Linked DNA regions of Tribolium castaneum. The protein of the gene in region 1 purifies or fractionates together with the protein of each later gene. This does not show direct contact. Links are inferred from orthologs where the notes say so. Each region holds a gene or a part of one and is shown on either strand. Other genes may lie near its edges. The genes, in order: transcription initiation factor TFIID subunit 10 and Tbp.

The links.
Region 2: the proteins of transcription initiation factor TFIID subunit 10 (region 1) and Tbp purify together in Drosophila melanogaster (affinity purification with western blotting; 3 studies listed by BioGRID). This does not show direct contact. The link is inferred for Tribolium castaneum from reciprocal best matches to the Drosophila melanogaster genes Taf10 and Tbp.

Annotation. Positions count from the first base shown.
Region 1 is NC_087398.1:382,917-385,893, forward strand, and holds transcription initiation factor TFIID subunit 10, read left to right. Parts: upstream 1-1,340; 5' UTR 1,341-1,380; intron 1,381-1,481; 5' UTR 1,482-1,665; coding exon 1,666-1,770; intron 1,771-1,818; coding exon 1,819-1,998; intron 1,999-2,043; coding exon 2,044-2,151; 3' UTR 2,152-2,204; downstream 2,205-2,977. Other genes in the region: Sh3beta (SH3 domain-binding glutamic acid-rich protein homolog), read right to left, coding at 1-18, 632-835, 926-970. UniProt on the Drosophila melanogaster protein: TFIID is a multimeric protein complex that plays a central role in mediating promoter responses to various activators and repressors.
Region 2 is NC_087402.1:9,986,897-9,991,115, reverse strand, and holds Tbp (uncharacterized protein Tbp), read right to left. Parts: upstream 2,983-4,219; 5' UTR 2,891-2,982; coding exon 2,845-2,890; intron 2,801-2,844; coding exon 2,574-2,800; intron 2,525-2,573; coding exon 2,382-2,524; intron 2,336-2,381; coding exon 1,816-2,335; 3' UTR 1,322-1,815; intron 1,275-1,321; 3' UTR 769-1,274; downstream 1-768. Other genes in the region: Bka (rRNA-processing protein FCF1 homolog), read left to right, coding at 3,393-3,395, 3,445-4,053; Tbcc (tubulin-specific chaperone C), read right to left, coding at 4,079-4,219. UniProt on the Drosophila melanogaster protein: General transcription factor that functions at the core of the DNA-binding multiprotein factor TFIID.

The DNA.
Region 1 (2,977 bases):
ATCGAATTGGTCATAGTCCTAAAAAATGTTAACAGGACTTGTTAAAATGTACGTATGATGAGCGAATTTAGCTGATGTCATTCTAAATAAACATAAACATAGTAAATATTTGTTTGGAACATATGGTCTCTAACAGCTTTCATCTATTAGAATTAATCATGCAACATGAAAGTTTCATAATCGTGAACAGATAGATACAAGTCATTAATTATAATTTTTTATCAAGTTGGCTTCAAATAAGCAAATGGAACTGAGGTTACTTGATGGAAGGCATCATTATAATCAACTTATTATAATAACGATTATAAAGTCCAATTATTTCTTTTTACAGTGGCTTCTTGAATTTTCTTAGTATGGAAATGACGAATAATAAATATTAAAATGTTAATTAATCGAAATTTAACGATGTAATTCTAAATCAAACAAGGCTTAAAACATATTTGTGTTGGAATCGATGACGTAATCCGTTTAAAAGTAAACCAAAACAGAGGATAAAAATACAAATAAAAAAACTGAAATGAGACAAAGCAATTAATGGACTTCTTCCAATCTATTTTGAGTGCACGTTGATATGCACAAATGGTGTTGTGATAATGCTGATATGGCGAAAATCAATAAAAAATGCTCTTACCCCACAATAGACATCGTCGTTGAATATCTGTGGAGGTAGTGGATGCCTTGGATTAGGGTCACTGATTGTTGCCCCTGAAGACGTGGAATTGTTCTGCATGAAATCCTTTTTCTCCTCATTTTCGGGTTCGGCAATATCTATAACTTCATAATTGATATTTTTTGAATCTAAAATCAGAAGGACCCTTTGCTGTCTTTTCTTCACCTGTCAAAAGAACAGGTGTATTTTTATAAATTAACCAACAACGGACTGGGAAGAATTTACGGAACTTGGGGTTATTAGAACTGCACTTACCTCTTTATTGCCGGAAATGCCGCTAATGTAAACTTTGACTACCATTATTACTCAGTTTATATTGTAAAAATTGTAAATTTTCTCTAAACCTATTTGACAGCTTCTTTGGCAGTGTGGCGCCACACCTATTTTGGTACAGCAGGTTGATTGTCGATTGTTGTCATTAAGGGTCAGCCGAGAAACGAACCAATTCAAAAACTGGAGGCTAATTTTAGAATGCACTAACAAATTATTTGCAATTTATTTGTTGCTAAATTCTGTTATAACGGGCTGGTGAGAAACTAACGGCAGAAAAACTCATAAACCCAACGGTGAGTCATGTGCACTCACGCAAAATTTGTCACGACTTTTTAATAAACTGAAGGACTTTTATTGCAATTCTTGACGAAATTAAATCCAGGAATTCGTAAATTGTCAAGCAAAAAATACAACTAAACCTACAATCAACAAATTAGGTCATTTGAAAAAAGTGTAGATTTATATTTGTAAATGCAAGAAAAGCTTGTTACAATCAGTGAATAATGAACGAATAACAAATAAATAATTAAAATTTCAGGTAAAAAGTCAGGCAACTCAATATACGAATATCACAAAGACAATTTCGGTCTGTAGATTAAAGTAAGAGTTAAGAGTAGATCTGTTGTACAAAAAACTTGAGCTACTTGTCACAATTGTCAATCGTTGAAAATTGACAAAAATAAAAATTCATTTCAAACATTTTGTGTAATTTTTTTGACGACATGGCCGAGGCAAGCGATAAAATGATTGTGGACGATAATGAGCCTGCAACATTCGGTCAACCGTTGAGCAATTTTCTGCTCCAACTGGAAGACTACACCCCGACAGTAAGTCGCAAAATATTCCGTTTCACAAATCTTAGTTTTAATTACTAGATACCGGACGCTGTAACAGCCCATTTTTTACGAACTTCTGGATGTGAGGCAAAAGACCCGAGATTAATTCGACTGATTTCAATCGCTGCTCAAAAATTCATATCAGATATTGCGAATGATGCTCTCCAACATTGCAAAATGCGGTCTAGTAACTCGTCCAACAGTCATGGGGGCTCAAAGGTTTGGATATGTAGTGTGATAATCACATCTAACTTTTTTTTCTAGGGATCTAAAGGTTCCAAGGATAAGCGTTATTGTTTAACTATGGAGGATTTAACACCGGCTTTGGCCGAGTTTGGGATTACCATTAAAAAGCCACATTATTACGTGTAGTGTATTAGTTTATTTTTCTTGTATTCTTTCCAATAAAATTATTTAAAGTACAAGTGGTCTGAAACCTCCCAAATGTTAAGATCTTGCAACACTGGGATTGCTTTTGAGACATAATCACCACAATTCCGCTCAAAATTTTTAAAACACCTGTCCTCGTTTTTACATGAACATTTAATTTCCGAGTTCTTGGGTGACAATAAATTGGTTTTGTTCTCTCTGACGCAAGTTGAGTCTTTAATCGTCCGCAAATCATCAACACTAGGAGTCATAAATAACCCCAAATTTGGGTAAATAACAAAGGCAAAAATTGCCAACACTGTGAGGAGAAAAATAGGGATGGCAACAGCCCAGTATCTCTGAGGCAAACAAGTGATACCGACATACTTAAACCACTCTTCCGGAAGTACAGCCCAGGCTAAATACAAAATGAAAAAAGTCTTAAAACTGAGGAACATAGCAAAGCCGTAAACAGCCCTACTCGGAGTAGGGGCAGGTGTGTGTTCAGGCATTTTAAAAATGACTATAAGTGGAGCTAACAGGGTCACCAGCGAATTCAATAGTTTCACTCATCAGATTTAAATTATCGAAAAAACTAGAAACGGCGACGCGTAACTGGCGTGCTAATTGGGCACTAAATTTTCTATAAAGAAATAATCAATTTTTTCCCACGCCAAAACAAGGTCTTACACATGCAAAATATTTTTATGGTAAGTTATTTCCTTGGTCACTCCACTCCTTTTGGGCTCCTTTTCAACTCGCAGAACGTGGTAAGCAATCTCGGCGAATCTTTCGCTGGGAAAGGGGACTTCAATATCTCTAACAGAAG
Region 2 (4,219 bases), on another chromosome or scaffold:
TGTTCAAATAGTACAATTTTTTCGTGTTTGAGTTGTTTATGTTGTTGGCGTCATAAAACCAAAAATCCCCAGATTTAAAATACTGGTTTTAACTTTTATTATGACTGACTTGTCATTACAAAAATATTAATTGATATTAGTTTTAATCAAAAAAATGGAGCTTGTAGAATTTGAGGCGATAATAAAAGCCATTAGTCAATCTTGCAGTGAACAACTCGATCGCTTTACCGAATCTTTGCACCCACTCGATGAGTTAACACCTCATGTGGAAGAAGGTACGTGCAATCTTTTTAAATCTATTTTTGTACTCTGTTATGTCTTTTTAGAAGGGTATTTGTTTAATATATGTGCAAACGTTAAATCTTTGATTGATTGTAAAGTAGAAAGGGCCTTTGAAATCGTGGATAACAATGCTCAACTTTTGGAAAAAGAAAAGTCTGAAATCGTAAGTATAAAAAATAATTTTACTTGTACGATAACTTTGTAAAAAAAATAGAATAAACTGGAAGAGGAACTTTCAAATTTAACTACCGAATTTGGTGCAAAGAAAAATAAACTCCGGGAAACAACAAAACGGTGCGAAACTTATAATCATAAGCTGCAAAATCTTAAGAGCCTAAAGTATGAAATTTAAATGACTCTTACGTTGGTCTCTAATGAATTTATTTCAGGCTCTCCTTATATTTGTATAAGTTATTAACTGCAACACAATTTGATTATACAAGACCTAACACAGGCTGTATCCTTTCTAAAAAAAAAACCAAGCCGTTCATTTTAACAACTTTATTCCTTATAAACTAACAGATATGGTACGGACGAACCCTCCAAACTATGAAGTCTTCAATTATGGTGAAATAGGCGAGGAACAAGTAGTACGAAAATTATGGGCATTAATGGAAAAAATGGCACATAAAAACGAATAAAAACTTAAATTTATTGCTTTTTCTTTATGGTAACCGTTTTAAATATTGTATATGAATGGAAAACACTCGCGCTTGTTGCAATTGTAAAACCAACAACGAATAAGGCTACAATTACCATAGCTAGTAGCATTCCTTGGATAAATATGTTGTAAGTTATGTAAAAAATTCCCTGTGACGCCAAAATTCCCGTGTAAGTGAGCAATAGCGCAACGGGCATTAGGGTGGCTGCTGTGACCACGGGGAGCAGGATAACGGCCAAAATCACCACCAAAGACATGGACAAAATCGGTCTTTGCACTGACCATTTTAGGAACATACTTCTAACATTCTTCACCAAATTTCGCACTTTATCTGATAAAATTACGATTAGTAACGCAATTATTGGCGTGTGGCCTCACCTGGTAAAATGGGCATTGTTGTTATTTTACGCCGAACTGTAGAGATTAAAATAATTACTTGAACATGTTGGAATTTGACATCGCTTTTTATCAGTTCCAGTATTTACAAGGCGTGGAATTTGTACCGTCTTCTGATATTCTTCCACTTTTTTAGAGTTTATTGTTCTTCATTTAAGACAAAAACGAGCGAGTTTTTTCTTTTTGGCAAAAAATTTGAGGTTATGTGGCAAAAATTTGAATTTTCGTAAACCATAATCAACTTTAATTAATTATTTACTTATCAGTTTTGAACTTAAGTACTGAGCGGAATTTTCCATTCCCTTTCGATTGATTGTATTCTAGTGCAGCATAATGTATTAATAATGTAAAAAAACTAATTTTGAGGTTAGATTGGACTTGTCAAAAGGAAAAATAAAAGCAATTTTTGATTCTCGTCTATTAACAATATAAAAGGCCCACTTACAGTCAACAATTAAACGTAGCACATGAAGCAATTATTGCTTTTTGAAGCTTTTCAGGATTGGATAAATATTATCAAAGGCTTCGTAAATCTCCTGCCTGATTTTGGCGCCAGTCAAGACAACTTTACCCGAGACAAAAATAAGTAGTACAATTCTGGGCTTAACCATTCTGTAAATTAAACCGGGGAATAACTCGGGTTCATACGAACTGAAGGAACTGTGCGTGAGGACAAGTCCTTCCAATCTGATCGGAAATTTAACGTCGCAACTTCCCACCATATTTTGAATCTTGAAGTCTAAAAATTTCGCGGGGAAGCCCAGCTTTTGGATAATTCTCGCATATTTCCTCGCTGCTAGTCTGGAGTCGTCCTCGCTTTTAGCCCCCGTGCAGACCATTTTTCCCGAAGAGAAAATAAGAGCAGTAGTTCGGGGCTCCCTGATTCTCATTATAACTGCAGCGAAACGTTTGGGGTTGTACTCAGCGTTACGTGCGTGAAGGGCGATTTTTTTCAAGTCTAACTTGCAGCTGAGGTTAACTGTGGAGACAATATTTCTGCAAAAAATATTCAAACTAATTTTACTAAAGTTTGGACTGTTACTGTAATTGGGGGACAATGTTGGGGTCGGCCGAATGCGGGGTCATCGGTGTCAGGGGCGACGGCGTCGCGGGGCCCATCGACGGGGTGTTCGCTGCACCACTTGAGCCCCCCAAATTCACCATAGGGGACATCATAGTGTGTTGCTAAAATTTTAATTAAACGTTCCAATTATTCAATAATTTAGTTACGTACTGGTGTTTGTGACTGGATACTCGTGATGGGGAGGGCGAAGCCCGCATATTTCGTATGGGGCATGGACATGCCCATGCCCAACCCCAGAGTTGGTGTTAGGGCTCCCATTGGGGCCAAAGGCGGGACTTGTTGGGACTGTGATGTTGTGGAAGGTTGCTGCTGCTGTTGTTGCTGCAGAGCATTGGGCAAAATCATCTGATCTTCCTCGGGCTGGTGCAAGGGGGTTCCTAAAGCCTCACTAAGGAAGTGTGAAGGAAAAATCGAGACTTACCTATGCTAGGAATGCTGAAACCGGGGCTTGGCAACATTTGATCCATTTTGGTACTTGTTGTCTTTACACTTTTTTAATTAACGAACTAATTAACTGAACAATAAAATCATAGTCAACATTTAGCATAAACGGTTATAATTTTTAAAAACTTGAACTCAGACCATACAAACACAAAATAACATTCCTTGATTGTTCTCTTTCAGAGTTTTCGTCACGAAAATACTGTTTTTCACTGGAAAAACGGATTTGGAAGCAAATTAATAAATTATTCTCCTAGCATAATTTTTGGGGACAAATCAACCAGAATGTTGGCAACGCCCGCCTTAACCTCACTCAAATTCGCATCATAAATTTAAAAATAACACTCACGGCTCACGCTCACAATGTCGCCTTTTAAAAATTTCGAGTCAGTGGAACAGTTTTTTCACACAAACAATTATTTTGGATTTAATTTATTCACCTCTCCCTGATTGTTTATTTAGTGTTGTAATGTTGGCAACGCATATTTAACCTGACTTTTTCTACATGTGTTTATTTTAAAATAAAAGATGGTAAAAAGTTCGCTTTGGTGTTTGCACAGCGTATAGAAATGTTTTTTAGGGTAAGGCGAAGAAGACGCGAAAAATCGCCCAGAAGCGGTTTGCAAAAATGAAAACAATGATCAGTCCCAGCGACCCTCGCATAAAAGCCAGCCAGAGGGCCCCTCCTCGCAAGAAAAAACCCGAAGATCCACACGAAATGAAAGTGCGTGAGGTGCCCCAAGTTAGTTCGGCGCTCTTTTTCCAATACAACACCCAACTGGGGCCTCCATATCACATTTTGGTTGATACGAACTTTATTAATTTTTCGATCAAGAACAAGTTGGATATTATTCAGAATATGATGGACTGCTTGTATGCTAAGTGTATTCCGTATATTACGGATTGTGTTTTGGGCGAATTAGAGAAATTAGGTCAGAAGTATAAAGTGGCGTTGAGGATAATAAAGGATCCGAGGTTTGAGAGGATTAAGTGCATGCATAAAGGGACGTACGCTGATGATTGCCTAGTCCAGAGGGTCACCCAACACAAGTGTTACATTGTTGCGACGAATGATAAGGATTTGAAACGCAGAATTCGGAAAATTCCGGGTGTTCCCATCATGTATGTTGCACAACATAGGTATACAATTGAACGCATGCCTGATGCTTACGGGGCTCCAAAAACATAATAAACTACGAATTTTTATTACTACGTTATGAATTATCCCAATTTTTTACAAGTTTCCCTTCATCTAACAACGACCAATTTGGAGATTGTCTTTCAACATTCAACCAGTTGAAATCATCAACACATTTCCAATTATTTGTGTTTCGATCCAACCCTGAATTTTTAAA